5 linked regions of the Callithrix jacchus genome follow. The protein of the gene in region 1 interacts with the protein of each later gene in a biochemical or structural test. Links are inferred from orthologs where the notes say so. Each region holds a gene or a part of one and is shown in the gene's direction. Other genes may lie near its edges. The genes, in order: ADRB2, MAGI3, GRK2, NHERF1 and GRK6.

What was found.
Region 2: the proteins of ADRB2 (region 1) and MAGI3 form a complex in vitro, tested with the Homo sapiens proteins (2 studies listed by IntAct, with this or other methods). The link is inferred for Callithrix jacchus from reciprocal best matches to the Homo sapiens genes ADRB2 and MAGI3.
Region 3: the proteins of ADRB2 (region 1) and GRK2 form a complex in vitro, tested with the Homo sapiens proteins (2 studies listed by BioGRID, with this or other methods). The link is inferred for Callithrix jacchus from reciprocal best matches to the Homo sapiens genes ADRB2 and GRK2.
Region 4: the proteins of ADRB2 (region 1) and NHERF1 form a complex in vitro, tested with the Homo sapiens proteins (3 studies listed by BioGRID and IntAct, with this or other methods). The link is inferred for Callithrix jacchus from reciprocal best matches to the Homo sapiens genes ADRB2 and NHERF1.
Region 5: the proteins of ADRB2 (region 1) and GRK6 form a complex in vitro, tested with the Homo sapiens proteins (2 studies listed by BioGRID, with this or other methods). The link is inferred for Callithrix jacchus from reciprocal best matches to the Homo sapiens genes ADRB2 and GRK6.

Annotation. Positions count from the first base shown.
Region 1 is NC_133503.1:47,515,389-47,519,700, forward strand, and holds the start of ADRB2 (beta-2 adrenergic receptor), read left to right. Parts: upstream 1-1,500; 5' UTR 1,501-1,723; coding exon 1,724-2,903; intron 2,904-4,312. UniProt on the Homo sapiens protein: Beta-adrenergic receptors mediate the catecholamine-induced activation of adenylate cyclase through the action of G proteins. The beta-2-adrenergic receptor binds epinephrine with an approximately 30-fold greater affinity than it does norepinephrine.
Region 2 is NC_133508.1:151,613,122-151,616,633, forward strand, and holds part of MAGI3 (membrane-associated guanylate kinase, WW and PDZ domain-containing protein 3), read left to right. Parts: intron 1-203; coding exon 204-392; intron 393-3,512.
Region 3 is NC_133511.1:124,351,322-124,355,292, forward strand, and holds the start of GRK2 (beta-adrenergic receptor kinase 1), read left to right. Parts: upstream 1-1,169; 5' UTR 1,170-1,478; coding exon 1,479-1,591; intron 1,592-1,642; exon of another isoform or gene 1,643-1,766; intron 1,767-3,971. UniProt on the Homo sapiens protein: Specifically phosphorylates the agonist-occupied form of the beta-adrenergic and closely related receptors, probably inducing a desensitization of them. Key regulator of LPAR1 signaling.
Region 4 is NC_133506.1:130,683,579-130,687,705, forward strand, and holds the start of NHERF1 (Na(+)/H(+) exchange regulatory cofactor NHE-RF1), read left to right. Parts: upstream 1-1,324; 5' UTR 1,325-1,538; coding exon 1,539-1,979; intron 1,980-4,127. UniProt on the Homo sapiens protein: Scaffold protein that connects plasma membrane proteins with members of the ezrin/moesin/radixin family and thereby helps to link them to the actin cytoskeleton and to regulate their surface expression. Necessary for recycling of internalized ADRB2.
Region 5 is NC_133503.1:68,706,478-68,709,989, reverse strand, and holds part of GRK6 (G protein-coupled receptor kinase 6), read left to right. Parts: intron 1-1,880; coding exon 1,881-1,976; intron 1,977-2,857; coding exon 2,858-3,121; intron 3,122-3,247; coding exon 3,248-3,325; intron 3,326-3,512.

The DNA of each region.
Region 1 (4,312 bases):
ACTAATGCATGAAAAGTACATAGCAGAATGGACCATAAATGTTAGCCATTGTTAGTTATTATGTAATCTACAAAGTATGTTTAGTTACACTTCATGAATTACTTTCAGTTTTTCAAAGGCACCACTAATACATGGGAAATCAAACCCTGAAAATTAATTTAACTTTAGAGGTAAAGTCACATGCCAGATGCAAAGGGTAGTGTTTTGTGAACAAAGATCTTAGTTTTGAGATTTGGTCTTACTTTATTTTTTTAAGGGAGAATTATCTTTTGCTTTCTATAGTTTCAAAAAGTTCTTAATCTTAAGACATTCTTAATACTCTGAATCATATGAATTTGCCGTTTTGGTAAGTCACAGACACCAAATGGTGGCAATTTCATATGGCTCAACCTGAAAGATTAACAAACTATCCAGAGGATGAAAGGATTTTTTTTAGTTGCATTGGGATTACTGAAGAAATTGTTTGAATTCTCAGTGCATCTCCTGTCCAACAGATGAGTGAGTGATGCCACACTCTTATTAAGAGTTAAAAACAAAACGAAACTAAAACGAAAGCACAGAACTTTCTCTCTCCATCCCAAAATACATACATCCTTACCCCCTCTCCGAATGAAATCCAAAGGGTAAAACTGTCTTGATGCCTGCAAATTCCCAAAGAGGGCACCGAAAGTACTTGACAGTGAGTGTGCTGAGGAAATCGGCAGCTGCTGAAGTCACCTCCTGCGGTCTTGCCAAATGTCTGAAAGGGAATATACTGGGTTACTGGGTGTATGTTGGGAGAGGGGCATTATCAGCGCTCAGGTGGGGGAAGTTTGTGAGTACCCAGATAGAGACATCCGCCTCTGTGTCGCTCTGCATGCCTCTAAGCCGGCTTGTGTTTACTTTTTGTGTGTGTCACGATGCCTTTGTGCTTCTGGTGCTTCTGTGTTTGTTTCTGGCCGCGTTTCTGTGTTGGACAGGGGTGACTTTGTGCCTGACGGCTTCTGTGTGAGCGCGCTCGCGAGTGTGCCTGCGGGTGCCCTGGGAGGGTGTGTCTCCGTGTCTATGGCTGTGGTTCCGTATAAGTCTGAGCATGTCTGCCGGGGTGTATTTGTGCCTGTATGTGCGTGCCTCGGTGGGCACTCTCGTTTCCCTCCGTATGTGGGGCAGTGCCGGTGTGCTGCCCTTTGCCCTGAGACCTCAGACTGCACAGGCTCCCAGGGCAGGCAGGTAGCGGCCACAGAAGAGCCAAAAAAGCTCCCGGGTTGGCTGGTAAGCACGCCAGCTCCAGCTTTAGCCCTCTGGGGCCAGCCCGGGTAGCCGGGAAGGAGTGGTGGCCCGCCCGCCAAAGAGCAGCTGGGCCCCGCCCGGGCCAGCCCCGGGAGAGGGAGGGTGAGGGGAGGGGAGGAAAGCGGAGGGGTGCCTCGCCCCTACGGGGCTGCCGGCGTGCCATTGGCCGAAAGTTCCCGCACGTCACAGCGAGGGCAGTTCTCCTAAAGTCCTGTGCACATAACGGGCAGTACGCACTCCGAGGCGGCTTCTCCAGAGGGCGGGCTGGAACTGGCTGGCATCGTGAGCCCCTAGCACCCGACAAGCTAAGTGTGCAGGACGTGCCCCCACCACACCCACCTCACGGCCGCTGAATGAGGCTTCCAGGCGTCCGTTCGCGGCCCTCAGAGCCCCGCCGGGGATCCGCCCGCTGAGGCGCCGGCAGCCAGTGCGCTCACCTGCCAGACTGCGCGCCATGGGGCAACCCGGGAACAGCAGCGCCTTCTTGTTGGCGCCCAATGGAAGCCACGCGCCGGACCACGACGTCACGCAGGAACGGGACGAGGCGTGGGTGGTGGGTATGGGCATCGTCATGTCGCTCATCGTCCTGGCCATTGTGTTTGGCAATGTGCTGGTCATCACAGCCATTGCCAAGTTCGAGCGTCTGCAGACTGTCACCAACTACTTTATCACTTCACTGGCCTGTGCTGACCTGGTCATGGGCCTGGCAGTGGTGCCTTTTGGGGCCAGCCATATTCTCATGAAAATGTGGACTTTTGGCAACTTCTGGTGTGAGTTTTGGACTTCCATTGATGTGCTTTGCGTCACGGCCAGCATTGAGACCCTGTGCGTGATCGCGGTGGATCGCTACTTTGCCATTACTTCACCCTTCAAGTACCAGAGCCTGCTGACCAAGAATAAGGCCCGGGTGATCATTCTGATGGTGTGGATCGTGTCAGGCCTTACCTCCTTCTTGCCCATTCAGATGCACTGGTACCGGGCCACCCACCAGGAAGCCATTAACTGCTATGCCAAGGAGACCTGCTGTGACTTCTTCACGAACCAAGCCTATGCCATTGCCTCCTCCATCGTGTCCTTCTACGTGCCCCTGGTGGTCATGGTCTTCGTCTACTCCAGAGTCTTTCAGGTGGCCAAAAGGCAGCTCCAAAAGATTGACAAATCTGAGGGCCGCTTCCATGCCCAGAACCTTAGCCAGGTGGAGCAGGACGGGCGGACGGGACATGGACTTCGCAGGTCTTCCAAGTTCTGCTTGAAGGAGCACAAAGCCCTCAAGACGTTAGGTATCATCATGGGCACTTTCACCCTCTGCTGGCTGCCCTTCTTTATCGTCAACATTGTGCATGTGATCCGGGATAACCTCATCCCTAAGGAAGTTTACATCCTCCTAAATTGGGTGGGCTATGTCAACTCTGCTTTCAACCCCCTTATCTACTGTCGGAGCCCAGATTTCAGGATTGCCTTCCAGGAACTTCTGTGCCTGCACAGGTCTTCTTTGAAGGCCTATGGGAATGGCTACTCCAGCAACAGCAACGGCAACACAGGGGAGCAGAGTGGATATCACCTGGAACAGGAGAAAGAAAATAAACTGCTGTGTGAAGACCTTCCAGGCACGGAAGACTTTGTGGGCCATCAAGGTACTGTGCCTAGCGATAACATTGATTCACAAGGGAGGAACTGTAGTACAAATGACTCACTGCTGTAAAGCAGTTTTTCTACTTTATAAGAACGCCCCCACCAACAGAACACTAAACAGACTATTTAACTTGAGTGTAATAAACTTAGAATAAAATTGTATAGAGATATGCAGGAGGAGGGGCACCCTTCTGCCTTTTTTATTTTTTTAAGCTGTAAAAAGAGAGAAAACTTATTTGATTATTTGTTATTTGTACAGTTCAGTTCCTCTTTGCATGGAACTTATAAGTTTATGTCTGAAGGGCTTTAGTCCTAGAGGACCTGGGTCTGCTATGTTTTGATGATTTTTCCATGTATCTACCTCACTATTTAAGTATTAGGGGTAATATATTGCTGCTGGTAATTTGTATCCGAAGGAGATTTTCCTTCCTACACCCTTGAACTTGAGGATTTTGAGTATCTTGGACCTTTTAGCTGTGAACATGGACTCTTCCCCGCTCCTCTTATTTGCTTACACGGGGTATTTTAGGCAGGGATTCGAGGGGCAGTTTCAGTTGTTTTCCTGAGCAAAGTCTAAAGTTTACAGTAAATAAATTGTTTGACCATGCCTTCGCTGCACCTGTTTCTCCAAAACCCCTTGACTGGAGTGCCGTTTCCTCCCCCACTGGAAACCACAGGTAACTACTTGTAATAACTGCCCATGACTTAATGTGGAATGATACGGAATGACATGCACAGATTGCTTAACCCTTTCATTTGCTTTTGAATCTGTTGCTGCAAAGCTGCGTCTCTCCTGACACTTGTGCTCCGAATCAGTTCTGCCTGCTCTTAGTATAGCTCAGCTCTCCCTATGGTTATTGTTCTGTGTTGTTACCTCAGCAACACTGACTCATAGAAACGGCGTTATAGGCATATGTTTTCTTCCCTTCACGCACCCCCACTGCCCACCTTCCAGTTCTACTTGTTTCATAACTGCTTGTATTTATGTCTTGGCCATGTCTTATAGTGGAGCTCTTTGTACTGCATCAGGGCTTGGAATTTTAGGTACAAGGAAGATGTTCCTATGAAAAAGCTACTCAAACATGGCCCTGCAATCCCACGGAATAATTAAAAGGCATTGGACATGGGGAGAAAAGCTGGAGAACATGTAACTGATGGATACCTCATGACCTCAAAACAGAATTTTAACCCCTTTTTCTTCCTTCCTTTGGTCCTTGTTTTCTTCTCCCATTGACTCTCCTCGCTTCAGTCTAAACCAAGGTTCTGAGCCCTGGCACTATTAGCATTTTGGACCGGATAACTCTTTGATGTTTAGCACCTCTGGTCTCTATTCATTGGATACCAATAGCACCCCCAGGTTATAACAAGCAAAAATGTCTCCAGACGTTGCAAAAGAGCCCCTGAGCTGTGA
Region 2 (3,512 bases), on another chromosome or scaffold:
AGTATTTGGGAAGTTGGATGGACTGCTGTTACCTACATCTTCACTTAGATTATGCCCAAAGCTCACATATGGGGCTGCTTTTCTATTCTTTATATTATTAGAAACTGATTTTTTCTGTGAGAGGCTTACCATAAAAACACTTTATAAAGTCACAAGAAATTATGATGTTCCAGAAATATCAAAACTGCTTATGTTTACTATAGAAAAACAACCTGAGGACGACAGCTCTCAGGCCTTCATTTCAACACAGAATGGATCTCCCCGCCTGAACCGGGCAGAGGTCTCAGCCAGGCCTGCACCCCAGGAGGCCTATGATGTTGTCTTGCAGCGAAAAGAAAATGAAGGGTTTGGCTTTGTCATTCTCACCTCCAAACACAAACCACCTCCAGGAGGTAAGGACTGTTGCTTCTTGTTGTCTCTCCCTGCAAGCCCAGTTTTCTGAGGCTCCCACTGGAGTTTATGAAATAATTAGGAACTATGTAAAGTCCCTTAGATACCTATCTTTTTAAGAATGGTGAATACTTTCCTTATTTTCAAAATTAGGTAATCTGAACCAAACCTTCCAGGCTTCAGGTTTATCTATCATCTCAGATTCCATAAAATATTTAATAAGTTTCAGTAAGCTCCATTTGCATCAAGGTTATACTGAGATAGTATGTCATAGATATGGATTTAATGAAAGGTATAATGCTGAGTTTTTTTAAATGGGGACATAGGTTTTGAAAATTAGAATAAATCATATATGTAGAAAAGAAATACTAGAAGCAGTTGAGAAGAAGCGAAGCAGATTAATAGAAAAATCTTAACCCAAATATGTTTTAGTTATTTCATGTTATTATTCAATAATAATTGTCATATTCCAGCTATAAATTATCCTTGTTGAATGATAAGAGGCATACCTTTTATAAATGTTTCATTAAAACATAAAAATTTTGTCAACAATTGGAAAATGAATCTAAATATCTTGAATTGAGTTTAACAGAATATTCTAATCCAGAAAGATGAATTTATTTATAACAGTTCCATCATCAAAGAAGGAATTACATCCAGTATATTCAGGGCTATTACGATTCAGCAAATGAAATATTTGTCTTGATGCTTCTATAAAATAATTTTTAATATAATTATAAAATCCAGTTGAATATGAGAACCAGCTTCAAGTCAAATGATAAAAATCTTTGACCACATGAAAATGTGCTCTTGCCTTTACAAGTCAGTTTGATTTTATTTTAGATAGTGAGATCCTTTTTGACCAAGTGAGTGGTTGCTAAAACTTTAGTTTAAAAAAAAGAAAACACTTTTAGGAAAGTGTTGTGAGCCAAATCAGTTTGCAAAAATCTTGCTAAAATTAATGCAAGTGTATAAAGGGAAAAAGAGTCCATGACATGGATGAGTTATTGCTTATAGTATTAGGTCCCTGCTCACTGATGCTAGTTTCCATTTTCCCAAAGCAGTTGCCATGGGAACACTTGGAACTGGAACTGTCACTGATGCTGTGAGGATGATTATATGGTCTGTGTCAGAAAAATGAAGGGAAAGCAGCTTTTAGTTGGTTTTTCATGTTGTATCATTGGAAGTCAGTACTTCCAAAAACAGATAACCATTTAGGATAATGATACTGTCAATCTCATAACATGCAGTGACCCCAGGCATTCAGATTAACTAAAACAGTGAGAGAGTATTACTCTAGTGGATAGTAGATAATCTAGAATCTAGTAGATTACTCTAGTAGATAGATGCTAACCACCTTTTATATTGAAGATATTCCCTTTCTAGTAGTACAGAAATTTGGGGAGAGTCTGGTGTTCACCATAAAACTAACCTATATACAGGAATTCAGTAAAATAAGTTGTATTGCTTAAATATGTTTATTAAGTATTTTTATATGTATATATTTGTAAATTTTTAAAAATTTTTAAATGTTTAAGTAGTTTTATATTTCCTTGTTTAAATCATGTTTTACAAAATTTTGATGATTTTACTTATGGATATGCTTCATCTCTATATAAGATAGTGTCATTAAATGTTGGGTTTTGTAATCTGACAAACTTGGATTCAAGTCCTGCTTATATCTTTTAATAGTTGTCTGATCTTGGGCAAATTACTTTCCCTCAGAGAGCTCGAGTTTATTCCATAAAATGAGGATGGTAGAGACACTTCCTGTCTCATGAATGTGAAGATTAAAGGAGCCAGGGTATGTGAAGCCCTTAGCCGAGGCCTTCAGTAAATGTTAGCTGCTGTTGCCTGTTGTAGCTTCTGCTGTCATTGTTATCACCATCATTATTATTTAGAAAATTATCACCATCTCTTGACTTTTCTTTTAAAAAAAACTTAGAATTTCATCAATACTTAATAATGAGATGGGAAAGAAAGCCCAATTAAAATGTAAGATTGAGGCAGCAGCTAAGATGTGGCAGGAAATGAGTATTTGCAGCTCATTAATTATCAGGCTGAATGGTAAATTAGGCTTAGGTTGCTGATGAATTTTATATAAAATACTTGAGATTTCTAGTCAACGTATAAAACCAGAATTGATCATCTAACTGAAATGCTAGTTAATAATCTCATAAAATGTTGAGGCCTGTGAGTATTCTTCTTAGAATTTTATTTTTCACATATAGACAGGAAAAGGGTCCTGGGGCAAATTCAAATGAGGAGCTTTTACTCACAGACATCGAACACTTGCTGCAAACTGTATGACAGAGAAGATTTGGTTCAGAAAGGAGTTAGCACAGGTGGAAAGGCAGGAAACCTGTCTGCCAGAATAAATCATTCTTTTTTTTTTTTTCCAGATAGAGTTTCGCTCTGTCATCTGAGCTGGAGTGCAGTGGCACAATCTGGGCCCACTGCAACCTCTGCTTCCTAGGTTTACGTGATTTTCGTGCCTCAGCCTCCTGATTAGCTGGAATTACAGGCATATGCCAACACGCCTGGCTAATTTTTTTCTATTTTGAGTGGAGATGGGGTTTTGCAATGTTGGCCAGGCTGGTCTCGAACTCCCGACCTCAGGTGATCCACCCACCTTGGCCTCCCAAAGTGCTGGGATTTCAGGCATGAGCCGCTTGCCTGGCCAGATCATTTTTTATGGACCTCGTCTTGGGTATTTTCTGATGACATATATCTCAAGAATAGTTCATAGTAGCATCCTTGGTACCTGTTATGGAATTCTGAGTTTCTCTACTGTTGACTTTTTCAAAGATCAGGGATCCAGGTTCAGCATCCTCACAATTTGTCCAACTGCTGAAAGAATGAAGTACTTAGAAAAGGCCTCTACATAAGATGAAAAAGACTTGGCTAGTTTTTGCTTTGCCAGGACTTCAGAGCTTTTAGTGTTATTCCTTCTTACCATATAGTTTTTAGTTCTGGTTGCAAAAGATTTCTTTGAGAAGGGAACATTTCCAGTTACTGATCTTTCTTTTCCTGAAAAGAAATGTTTTAAGAGCGCTAGAGTGATCCCAGGATCTGGACAAGCCAGGCTGCGAGACAGATTTAGGCCAAAGATGAATGAAGAT
Region 3 (3,971 bases), on another chromosome or scaffold:
CAGAGAGGGAGTTGAGAGAGGGGCATGTTGAAATATGAATGCTGCCTTGAGACACTTGGCTTTCCCCACTCTGGGTGGACTCTCAGCAGGGTGGTTTTTCCCTGCCAGGTTTCCCCACAGTGAAACCTCTGTGCCCTCCACAGCTGGGAGAGGTTTTACCCCACATGTGGAACAATCATGAAGGAGCATCTGGAAGGGATTGGGTACAGGGAAGGGAGCTGCCAAGCATGCTGGCCAGGGACCTGGGTCTACGAGCCGGTTGGGGGGTGAGGTTGGGTGCAGGGTCCTTGATCCTGAGTGTGCCTCCTGGGCCAGGATTGGTTCTGGAGTAGGAGGGGTGGGACGGGGGATGGGGGAAGCCTGTAACTGGAATGCAGTTGTCAGGTTCCAGGTTCTGGGCGACCTACTAAGGATTCTGGGTCCCGTGTGGGCCCCAGGTTGGATGTCCTAGTCCTGAGTCCGTGTCCACAGTTCTGGGTGTTGGGTCTAGGACAGTGGTCTGGAGTTGGTAGTCCAAGTCTAGGTCTGAAGCCTGACCCCAAGTCTAGGTTCAGGGTCATGGTAGTGGCCTGGAGTCAGAATCAAGGTTGGGGTCAGTAACCAGGATGGGACCGAGGTCATGGTCCAAAATCTGGATCTGGGACCTGTTGGGAATCTGGAGTGAGTGTCACAGTCTGAGTATGGCGTTGGAGACCCAGGGCTGTGACATGAGGTCATGGTCGGAGTCTGAGGTGGTGGGCCAAGTTTGAGTCTGGAGTCTGGTGTTAGGTCGTGACTGCGTCCAAGGCCAGGGAGTACGGGGTTAAAGCCAGGGTCTGAGATGGAAGCCCTGGGATCGTGTTCCAAGGTCTGAATCTGTGTCTCGGTGAGCGTCCAGGGTCCTTGTGATCCACATCTGGTGTCAGGGCCACGGCCTGATTGGGGAGCCTGGAATCCAGAGATGTGACCCGAGGTTATGGTCAGGGAGTGGGTCTGGGGTCGTCTTCGGTGCCGGGTCCCTGTCGTGTTCCAGGCCCGGGTCGCCGCCCAGCATCCAGGGCCGCGGTCAAGGCCAGGGGCTGAGCCCGCGGTCTCAGGTCTGGTTCGGGGTCAGGCTCCGCGCGGCCTCCAGGGGGCGCCGCCGCCCGCCCGGCTCGGGCCCTAGCGGGCTCGCTGGCGCTGTGCGCGGCAGGCGGGGCCGGAGGCGGCAGCGGCTCCGGGGCGCGGGCGCGCGGGCGGCGGTGGCGGCGGCGCCCCGACTGCAGTCCCGGCGGGAGCGGAGCGCAAGCCGGGGCCGGGCCCGAGCCGGCGCCATGGGGCGGCGCCGCCTGTGAGCGGCGGCGAGTGGAGCCGCGGGCGCCGAGTGGGGCCAGGAGGGAGGCGGCGGCGCCCGAGGCCGAGCGAGCCGCGGCCGGGCCGGGCCGAGCGCCGAGCGAGCGGGAGCGGCGGCGGCGGCGGCGGCGGCGGCGGCGGCGGGAGGAGGCAGCGCCGCCGCCAAGATGGCGGACCTGGAGGCGGTGCTGGCCGACGTGAGCTACCTGATGGCCATGGAGAAGAGCAAGGCCACACCGGCCGCGCGCGCCAGCAAGAAGATCCTGCTGCCCGAGCCCAGGTGAGGAGAAGCCGCCCACGGCCCCAGCCGGACCCCACGGGCGCCCCGGACGCGGCCCCAGACCAGGGACCCCGCGCTCGACCCCGCGACCCGGACTCCCGAGGCCGGTCCTCGAGACCCCCTGTCGGCCTCCCAGCCCGGAGCAGCGTGGCCTTGGCGCCTGCGGATCCAGACCGTAAGCCCCAGACCCTGGCGCCTGAGCCTAGAGCGCCCCGACTCCTGAGCTCTTCTGCCCCATCGGCCCCCGGATCCCCTCGGATACCCCAGGCCGCCCTGCTGCCTCCTTATCGCGCTCCGTCGGCCCCCCGCCCCGCCGGTCGCTGTCAGCCTCTCGCTCCCGCCTTCTCCCACAGGGACCCGGTGCACCCCTTCATCCTCCTAGCAGCCCTTGGTCCCTGTGGGGTCCTCTCCCCTCCGCCGGCCACCATTTACCTCGCCTGACCATGTCATCCACCCTTTTGCTGTCCCTGTTCCCGGGCACCCGCCTTGGGGTTTCTACTACCCCCACCCGTCTCTCCTATCTACACTTATGTGAGGTGTGGGGGGACAGCCAGTCTTCCGGACTCTTCTCCCACCCTCTGGTGGGGTCGCTGTCCTGGAGTTGGGCTTGAGAGTGCTTTCAGGGCGGCGTGGTGTGCAGGACCTGGGGTGCTGCGGGCACCCACCCCCTCAGACTGCGCTCAGGTGGGGGAAACATCCCCTGTGCCCTCTCCCCCACATTCCTTCTCTGGCGGGCCCTGCATATGGTGCCCTGTGGGTGCTGTTAACCAGGGACCCTCCCAGCACACCTGCAACAGCTGGACCTTAGCTGCCACCTCTCTGTAAGTCAACTGACATCACACCTGGTATCAAAGTTTAGACTGTTCAGGATGTAGTTGCAAAAGTACACAGGATGTGGACGATTGCTGCGGTTTGTCCAGCATTTTATGGCTGATAGAGTCTCCACTGTGTGAGCCTCTCAGCAGCTCATGGGGTAGGGAGGACAGGTGTGGCTTTTGTCCCTGTGGAACAGGTGGGGAAACTGAAGATCCAGAGGTGAGTAGCCTGTCCAGAGTCACACAGGTAGTCCCAGGTAGCATCTGGCCAACAGATCAGGGCTTCAGACTTCCGGTTCTACATTTCATTGGCTCCTCTGGCCTGTGCCAGGGAGCAGATGTGCCCGCCACGATTCCTTGTGTCGTGTGGCAACTCCTTGTGCATGCTTGACAGTTAGCCTCCTGGTGCCCACTGGGGCCTGTCCACACTGCTGTGGTCTTATCGTGTGACTCTGGGTCTTATCTTATGACCTACCCTTCCCGCACTGGGCCTTGGTCTTCTCATCTGTGAAATGTGGATGGCGTGAAATAAGAGCTGTGACTCTGCGGTGTCCCTCGGCCTTTGAAGCAGCCATCTCAGCCCCAGCTGACACTGCAGGGCTGCCATGCCTATGGCCTTCACTGGCCCCCTCTGCCATGCCCTGCTCACCGGTGTTCAGATTGCCTGAACATCAAGCCTGAGAGAGGAAAATTGGTCTGCATTTTGAAAAGGCCGTTAGGGCCTTTATTTTTTTCTAAGACATTTACAATCAGATTTCTCAAAACAGGAACCAGACTGACTGTCAGCTGGGGGCTGTCCAGGGAGCAGTGACAGTTAGTACAGAAACGAGTTCAGAAATGACAGCGCCACGAGGGAGGAAACGGGGGAGTCAGCCTCTAGGGCTCGAAACGGCTCTCCTTGGTGGCCGCAGCCTCGAGATCCCCCTGCAGGATGGAGTTCTGCAACGTGTGAGGCGGGGCCTTTTCTGGAACTGTCTGCCTTCGGGTGATCTCTCCCCAGAATGCATTGCTTCAGATGGGGCGCCGCCTTGGCTTGGCTCTGCAGGTGTTGGAACCCTGAGAAATGAGATGTTCTTTCCCTGTCCCCTTGCCTGTCCATGGTAGTGATGACGGTGATAGCAATAATGATAGGAATTATTACTGACTTGCTTATTTTGACATCTGTCATCTCAATTCAGCCAACAACCAACCTGTGAAGCTGGCAAGGTGATGCCTGGCATGTGGTAGTTGCTCAAGAAATACCAGGACTGTGTGATGCCCCATGCAGTCCTGAACAGAAACAAGATCAGTTGGGATTCTAGGAGGACAGCAGGAGGCCGAGCCGGGCAGCCTAGATTTCACATTGGGTCACCATCAGCAGCATGGCTTTCGGCATATTGCCCACATCCACTAGTTCCAAATGTCAGTATGCTGAGGCCTGGGAAGGGCTGCGGGCTGCCCTGCCTGGGGCTCCAGGGCTGGGGCATTGGAGGCAGGCCACCCTTTTCGTAATGCCTTGCATACCCAGGGGTTGCAGAGGCTCCCCCACCCGGGAAGGTGATCCTGCCGTGTCTCACGTTTGCCTG
Region 4 (4,127 bases), on another chromosome or scaffold:
TGTGTGTGGGAGGGGTGTCCTGTTGACGGAATTGTCATTCACTGCCAAAATCATTCCATCCTCCTCTCAGTGTCTCTCCTGAGGGTCAGTTCCCCCCTTAACAGACTCCCTACCTCTGTGACCAGCCTCTCTTTGGCAAGAGGGAGCTAAAGGCTTATCTTACAGTCCTAATCATTTTTCTTTCTCTGTTGGAAAAAAAAAAAAAAAAACCAAGGCTCTGTTCCCTGTGGAGTGTACCCAGAGGCTGATTATCTGAGTCTGTTCTGCCTCTCCCCATCCCACCTCCCTAGCCAAACGCTGACACCAAAGCCCATGCCATTGCCCTAGGTGTCCTGTCTTCAGTGAGTTGCCCCTCGAGGTCCCAGGCTCTCCACCGAGCCCGCACCTCTGCACCTTCCCAAGCAGGAATCAGAACCTGCACTCCTCTATGCGAGGAGTGCCAAGTGTCAGGCAGCGCTGCCTGACAGTGCAAAGTGGGTTAGCGTTAGGGTTCCCACAAACGGAAAAATGTTATTCAAACAACTCTATAGGGTCCGAGGAGGCTCTCAGTCTTAATTCTCAAGACTGCCTGGCCCTCGCTGCCCCGCGGGAGCCGTTGCCCCGGCAACAGCCGGTCCCCCTTAAGCAGAGCTGCACCCATGCTTTGGCTAAAGGCTGTTAAAACGTTGGCCAGTGCAGTGGTTCACACCGGTAATCCCAGCACTTTGGGAGGCCGAGGTGGGTGGATCACCTGAGGTGAGGAGTTTGAAACCAGCCTGGCCAACACGGCGAAACCCCGTCTCTACTAAATCTACAAAAAAATAGCCGGGCGTGGTGGCGGGCGCCTGTAATCCCAGCTACTCGGGAGGCTGAGGCAGGAGAATCGCTTGAATCCAGGAGGCGGAGGCTGCAGTGAGCCGAGATCGCGCCACTGCACTCCAGCCTGGAGACAGAGCAAGACTCCGTCTCAAAATAAATAAATAAATAAGAAAAAAAGAGTCCCTTTACCAGAGGGCCTCTCCTCACTCTCCGCCACAGGCAGGGGAAACCAGGCCGGAGCCGGTGGGCCCCACCACCCAGAACCGAGAACTGAGCGGGCCCCGCCCCTGCCACCCCAGCGCCGGCAGCTCGGCAACAAACACTTCCACTTCCTGAGCGCTCTGTCTTCGCCCGCCACTGGGCTCCGCGCCGAGGACAGGCCCCGCCCCACGCGTTTCCATTGGCCGGCGCCGTTCACCCGGCAGCAGCGCCCCGGCCCGCGGCCTCCGATTGGCTCGCGGAGTCCCACACCCTCTGCGTGGCCCCGCCCCCGGGGTAAGGAGCCTGGGCGGGCTCTGGAAAGCTCAGACGCCGAGCGAGGCGGGGATTGGTCCGCGCTCCTTTCTTTACTCCTCAAGGCTCGCGGCGGCCGGCGGTTCCCGGGACACCTGCTCGCTTCGCCGGTCCCGCGGCGCTGGGCTTCCCTGCTGCGTTCCCGGTTCTCTGGGCGGGAAGAAGGATTGAGCCGTCCCGTCTCCAACGGAACCCCGAGTGGCGCAGCTGAGTCGTCGCAGGGCGAGATGAGCGCGGACGCGGCGGCCGGGGCGCCCCTGCCCCGGCTCTGCTGCCTGGAAAAGGGTCCGAACGGCTACGGCTTCCACCTGCACGGCGAGAAGGGCAAGGTGGGCCAGTACATCCGGCTGGTGGAGCCCGGCTCGCCGGCGGAGAAGGCAGGGCTGCTGGCCGGGGACCGGCTGGTGGAGGTGAACGGCGAGAACGTGGAGAAGGAGACCCACCAGCAGGTGGTGAGCCGCATCCGCGCCGCGCTCAACGCCGTGCGCCTGCTGGTGGTCGACCCCGAGACGGACGAGCAGCTGCAGAAGCTCGGCGTCCAGGTCCGCGAGGAGCTGCTGCGCACCCAGGAAGCGCCGGGCAAGGCCGAGTCGCCAGCCGCCGCCGAGGCGCAGGGGGCTGGCAACGAAAATGAGCCTAGCGAGGCCGACAAGAGCCACCCGGAGCAGGTAAGCCGGGCCGGGGCGGCGCCGGCTGGAATGAGGTGGGAGGGGGATCGGGAGGGACCCAGGCGCCACGGCCGTCCAGCCCCGCGCCCGCCGTTGTCTTTCTGAAAACTCTAACTGCGAGGGGGAGACGGCTTCCGCCCGCCGACCAGGCTCCCTGGTAGATCCTAGGCAGGCCTGGGGCTGCGTCCCGCGACCTCTCTCCTTCCCTGGCTGTGCTGGGAGCCTGAGCGCCTTTGCCACCTGCACCTCTTGTTCCCTGGCCCTTGAGAGGGCAGCGCAGGGGAACCCAGTCCCCCTTCCCTCAGGTCTGTGTCTGCTCGTAATCCACCAATCCTGCCCCTCCCTGGCGCCCTCTCATCGTTCACCCCAGTCCGCAGATGGGCTCGGGAGGAAGGACTCTCCGCCCCAGAGGTGCCAGCTTCATCCACCACCCCTACTTCAAAAGCTAGAGGAATAGCCCTTCCTCCTCCTGTGCGGAGCCCCGGCGCGAGGTGGCCCTCCCTCAGCCCGCCGGTGTGTGCAATCAGCTTCAGCCCTGCTGGACTTCATCCTCCCGGAGTGCGGTGTAACTTCCAAGGGAGAGAAAGCCCCGCCATCTCAGGGCGGTGTGGGGGTGCTTGGCGGGAGGAGGAGTCAAGGCATCTCTGAGTGGTGGTTCTGCCACCCAGGAGGATTTACGACTCAGGAATGTGAGGAGTAAGCGCCTGTATCAGGGAGGGGAGGGGGAAGACCTTGGAAGGAGGGGAAGATGGCTGGGGGGAGGGGAGAGAGCTCTTGAGGCAAGTGGCGAGCCGGTGGTCTTGCCCTGGCCTTGCCACGCTCACTCGTGCCCACAGAGCCAGCAGGCCGGTTGCTTTTTGCCCATGTTTGGTGTTTGCCCATGGGATCCTGGTTTGGATCAGCTGCAGGAGGGGCAGCTGGCAAAACAGGAGTTGTGCTGAGTCTCCTGTCCCCAGAGAGTGGAGTGAGGAAGCTTCGGGTGCACACTGCGAAGGGCAGGGCCTGAGCCTCCCAGGGCCCCTTCAGCTTGCACCAGCTCTCCCTGGTGGCAGTGTGTGGTGGGAGTGTCCGTGGGGCCAGGAGGATCCTCCGTGGACAGAGAGACCACACAGTTCAGCATTAAGGTGGAAGGCAAAGCCCTAGGTAGGGGATCAACTGGTTAGGTGGAAGTGAGGTCACCAGAGACCTGTCCGGCCAGAGCTGGGTGCTGGGAATGCCAGGGCCACCAGGCTCCCACTTCCTGCCCCTGCCAAGCTGGCATTGGCAAGGGGTGGGGGAAGGGATCGGAGCACCCAGAGCAAGGGGTTGACACCAGAGGTTGGGGCCAATGATCTTTAATCCCAGGCAGAAATCCAGTGTGAACTTTGTGCTGAGTCCATCGATCGATTTGACCCTTTTTTTTTTTTTTTTTTGGACTTTGGCACTCACGGATACCCCCACCCTACTGCAAGTTGCAGTCTCATTCAGCTCCTCCCTTTGCCCTTTTGGTTACGCTGCTGGGTGCCAGAGGGCCTGGGAGGCTCCTGTGGAGGCTTGGCGTAGCACACACACTCAAAAGCCGTGGCTTTGAGCTTCCTGGGTGAGCACAGAATTTGATTCTTGCAGGTTTTAGAGGGACACCTACATTTGTGTGTACTTCCTTAGACCAGGAGATGAGAGGAGAGCCACCAGCAAACCCTGGGGACACTATCACCAGCCAAGTCCCAGGATTTCTGAGCTCTGGTTCTCCCGTCTGTGAGGTGGAGGCATTGGATGATGTTATGCCTGCCTTCTCTAGAACTTTAGAAATGATGTGAAGTACTCAAGCCCCTTACTCAATACTGAGCTGCACTGCGTCATGCCCAGGCGTTTGAATCCCAGCTGCTTCAAACTGACTCACAGTCAGCACCACTGAGTCCCTCTAGCAGAAAATCCCACACCGTTCTGTGTGAAGCTTGCGGATGGCCCATGCGGTTATTGCAAGAAATGTTAACAAACATTGTAAGAGCTATTTTTTCTAAAACGCATCCCTTTCCTATATAAAGCATCAAATTGAGGTTTGCCAGTTTGTTTTCATTTGAATTTGTGTGCAAGGTGGGGCTGTTCCCTTATCTTGATCAGCTCTTAAGTGAGTATCTCAGTGGAAAAGTGTGGCACAGAGAGTGGTTG
Region 5 (3,512 bases), about 21 Mb from region 1:
AATGGGCTCCTGCAATACTTCCTCCTCCAGGCAGCTTAGGTCAGGGAGTCATCGAGGGACCTTGCTTTGCCCCCTCCCTAGAAGGCAACTTCTACCCTTGCACCACCTGCCCTCACCCAGGCCAGATAGATACAGGACTGGAAAACCAGAGGGAAACTGAAGCCCAGCATGAGAAAGTGGTTGTCTAAGGTTGCCATAGAATTGTTGGAGCTGGGGCTCACCTCTTGATTCAGCCCTACTCGATGTGGACGGTATCTCCTATTCACCACATAACACACATGGAGAAACAGGTTCACAGATAGCAAGTGATGGGCTTACAGTGTGACTCAGAAATTCAGACCCAGCTCTGGGAGGCTCAGGCCCCTTCCCTCCTAAACCTGGTGGCCCATAGGCCACACACATTTGGCTCCCTCTCTGACACATTTTATTTATTTGGCTGCAGTGAGGTTTTTTTTGTTTTTTTTTTTTGAAACAGAGTCTTGCTCTATCGCCAGGCTGGAGTGCAGTGGCGTGATCTTGGCTAATTGCAACCTCTGCCTCCTGGGTTCAAGCAATTCTTCTGCCTCAGCCTCCCAAGTAGCTGGGATTACAGGCATGAGCCATCACACTGGCTAATTTTTGTGTTTTTAGTAGAGATGGTGTTTCATCATATTGGCTAGGCTGGTCTTGAACTCCTGACCTCATGATTCACCCACCTTGGCCTCCCAAAGTGCTGGGATTACAGGCATGAGCCACCATGCCTGGCTTTTTTTTTTTTTTTGAGACAGTTTCACTCTTGTTGCCCAGGCTGGCGTGCAGTGGCACACATTCAGCTCACTGTAAGCTCCGCTTCCCAAGTTCAAGCAGTTCTCCTGCCTTAGCCTTCTGAGTAGCTGGGATTACACACATGCGCCACCACACCTGGCTAATTTTGTATTTTTAGTAGAGATGGGGTTTCTCCATATTGGTCAGGCTGGTCTTGAACTCCCGATCTCACATGATCCGCCTGCCTTGGCCTCCCAAAGTGCTGGGATTAGAGGTGTTAGCCACTGTGCCTAGCCCTGTTTTTTTTTTTTTTTTTTTTTTAATAAAATGGGGGCCAATATTTTATGTAAGAGTGAATTTCTAGCTGCTTTTGAAAAATCAGAAGAGCTGGCTTGGCCACACTGAGCCAGAAACCCGCCTAGCAGCAATCAGGCAATCTGCTGGAGTTGTGCTACAGCTGCCTGTTAGAGGGGCCTTCTCTGTTCCTGGTCATCTCACATCTGGCCCACGTTTCCCATACCTGTTGGGCTCTGCAGGCAATTGAGCTGTCGTGGACTCAGCCGCTGCAGATGGGGGTCTGCGAGGTCAAGCAAGGCAGGCAGGGGGCCGTGGAACCCCTGTGTGCAGGGGAAGGAAAGTCCTGAGTGTCTCCCCTTGCCCCTGCCTTGCTTGAGCATCTGATAGCCATGATGTGGAGCCTGGCGATAGAGGTCTGGGAGCCCCCTTGTTCCAGGCTGCCCTGTACATCTCTCGGGCTTGCCCTGCTGTCCTAGAATCTTTCCCTCCTGGACCTTCTGCAGTTCCCACCACTGTGATGCCCTTCTCTCCTTTCTTAACCGGGGGAACTCCTACCTGGTGGGAGGCAACTGAGGCTGGACCCATTGTCAGAGCTATCTCCTCCCCCAGCAACCTTATTGCTCCTCTTGGCTCTCCCAGCTCAGAAGCCTGACGCAGGAGAACCACGTGTGTCCTGGAACGCGGCAAGAGCGTGCTGGAACGTGCTTGGGAAAGCCCAAGGTGCCGCCCAGAGTGGGCTCCGCCTTGGCTGGGCCCTAGAGGCCCTGAGCCTCAATGAGGACCCAGAGGCAGTCCTGGGGCAGTGGGACTTGAGACCCAGTGCCTGATTGCTCCCACAGGTGGCGGTGGGAATCGAAAAGGCAAAAGCAAGAAATGGCGGCAGATGCTCCAGTTCCCCCACATCAGCCAGTGTGAAGAGCTGCGGCTCAGCCTCGGTGAGGCCTGGGCAGAGCCTGGGGATGCTGAGGCGAGGGGCCTTGCTAGGGCCGGGGGAGCCTCCCCTGAGACCTTGCCTTGGGGCAGAGGGGCAGGCTTGGTGGCTCCAGTGAGCAGGAGGATGGGGCTGCACCATTGAGCCTAGCTTCAGTTCCCAGGCTTGGAATGCTTGGAGAGCAGACAACAAACAGGGTCATACTGCTGGAGGTGGTTGAAGTGGTGTCAGGAGTAGGGCAGGGGCAGATTGGGGCAGATGAGTCCGCTTTGGAAAGGAGAGCCAGCTAGGGTGAGCAGCATCCACAGGACAGAGGGAGCGGCAGCTAGGCCAGCCCACAGACTGACTGCCTTGGGAGCCCCAGGCCGGGTCTTAGCCTCCCAGGCCCAGCCTTGAGTGGTGCCTAGCAAAGCCTTGATCAGAAACCCTCAGCCTGGGCAGTGTGACAGGGTTACTCCTGGGAGGGGACAGAAGGGCCCAGGACCCCAGTTCCTGCCAATCTTGGCCAAGGCCCCAGGTCTGAGCAGCACCTAAGGTTGCTGAGGCCCCCCGGTGGCCTGCACATGGCCAGAGCGCACCCAGGCCGCTTCCACCTCCTGGGAAGGAGGCCCAGCTGAGAGCTTGCCGGAAGCCACAGCTTCCTCTCGCACTTTCGCCAGGCAGGCAGCAGGTGTGGGCCTGGCCCAGGCTGGGCTGGGCCGGAACATCACAGACCGCACCCAACCCCGGTACTGTGACATATGCAAGTCATGTAAAGCAGGAGACCATCGCAGGGAGGTGGGTGGAGGCCTGGGCTCTGGAGCCAGATTCCTGGCTGTGTGACATTGAGCTAGTCAGTTAGCTTCTCTGGGCCTCATAGCCCCAACATAGCTGTACCTACCTCAGGGTTGCGGTGAGGATTCTGAAGAAGATCACGGCTGCCACACTGCAGAGCTGGAAGCTGTTGTGGGGGCCCAGAGCCTGGTGGTATGGGCAGGAGTGCCCCATCCATGGGCTCTGGGGTTGTGGACCCAGCAGCTCCCATCTCTGCCCACAGAGCGTGACTACCACAGCCTGTGCGAGCGGCAGCCCATTGGGCGCCTGCTGTTTCGAGAGTTCTGTGCCACGAGGCCGGAGCTGAGCCGCTGCATCACCTTCCTGGATGGGGTGGTGAGTGCAGCCCAGCCCTGCCCAGCCCCATGGGTGGTCAAGGTCTCAGCCTCATGTGCCCTTCCTCCTGTTTCTCTGCTGTTTGCTCTGCCCAGACCTCCAGCTTCTCTGCTTTCCACCCTGCAGGCTGAGTATGAAGTGACCCCAGATGAGAAGCGGAAGGCATGTGGGCGGCGGCTAATGCAGAATTTTCTGAGCCACATGGTGAGTGAGCAGTGATGGAGAGATGACGGCAGCCACTAGAGCCCAGTGACAGGGAGAGGAGTGACCACAGCCTGGGCAGAGACTGCCCTGGAACTGCTCCAGGCAGCACAGTGGGCATGCAGCCCAGGGTATGGGCTGGGCTCCGGCCAGGCAGCCTCCCAGTGCCTCTGCTGCGCTCTGCCTTATG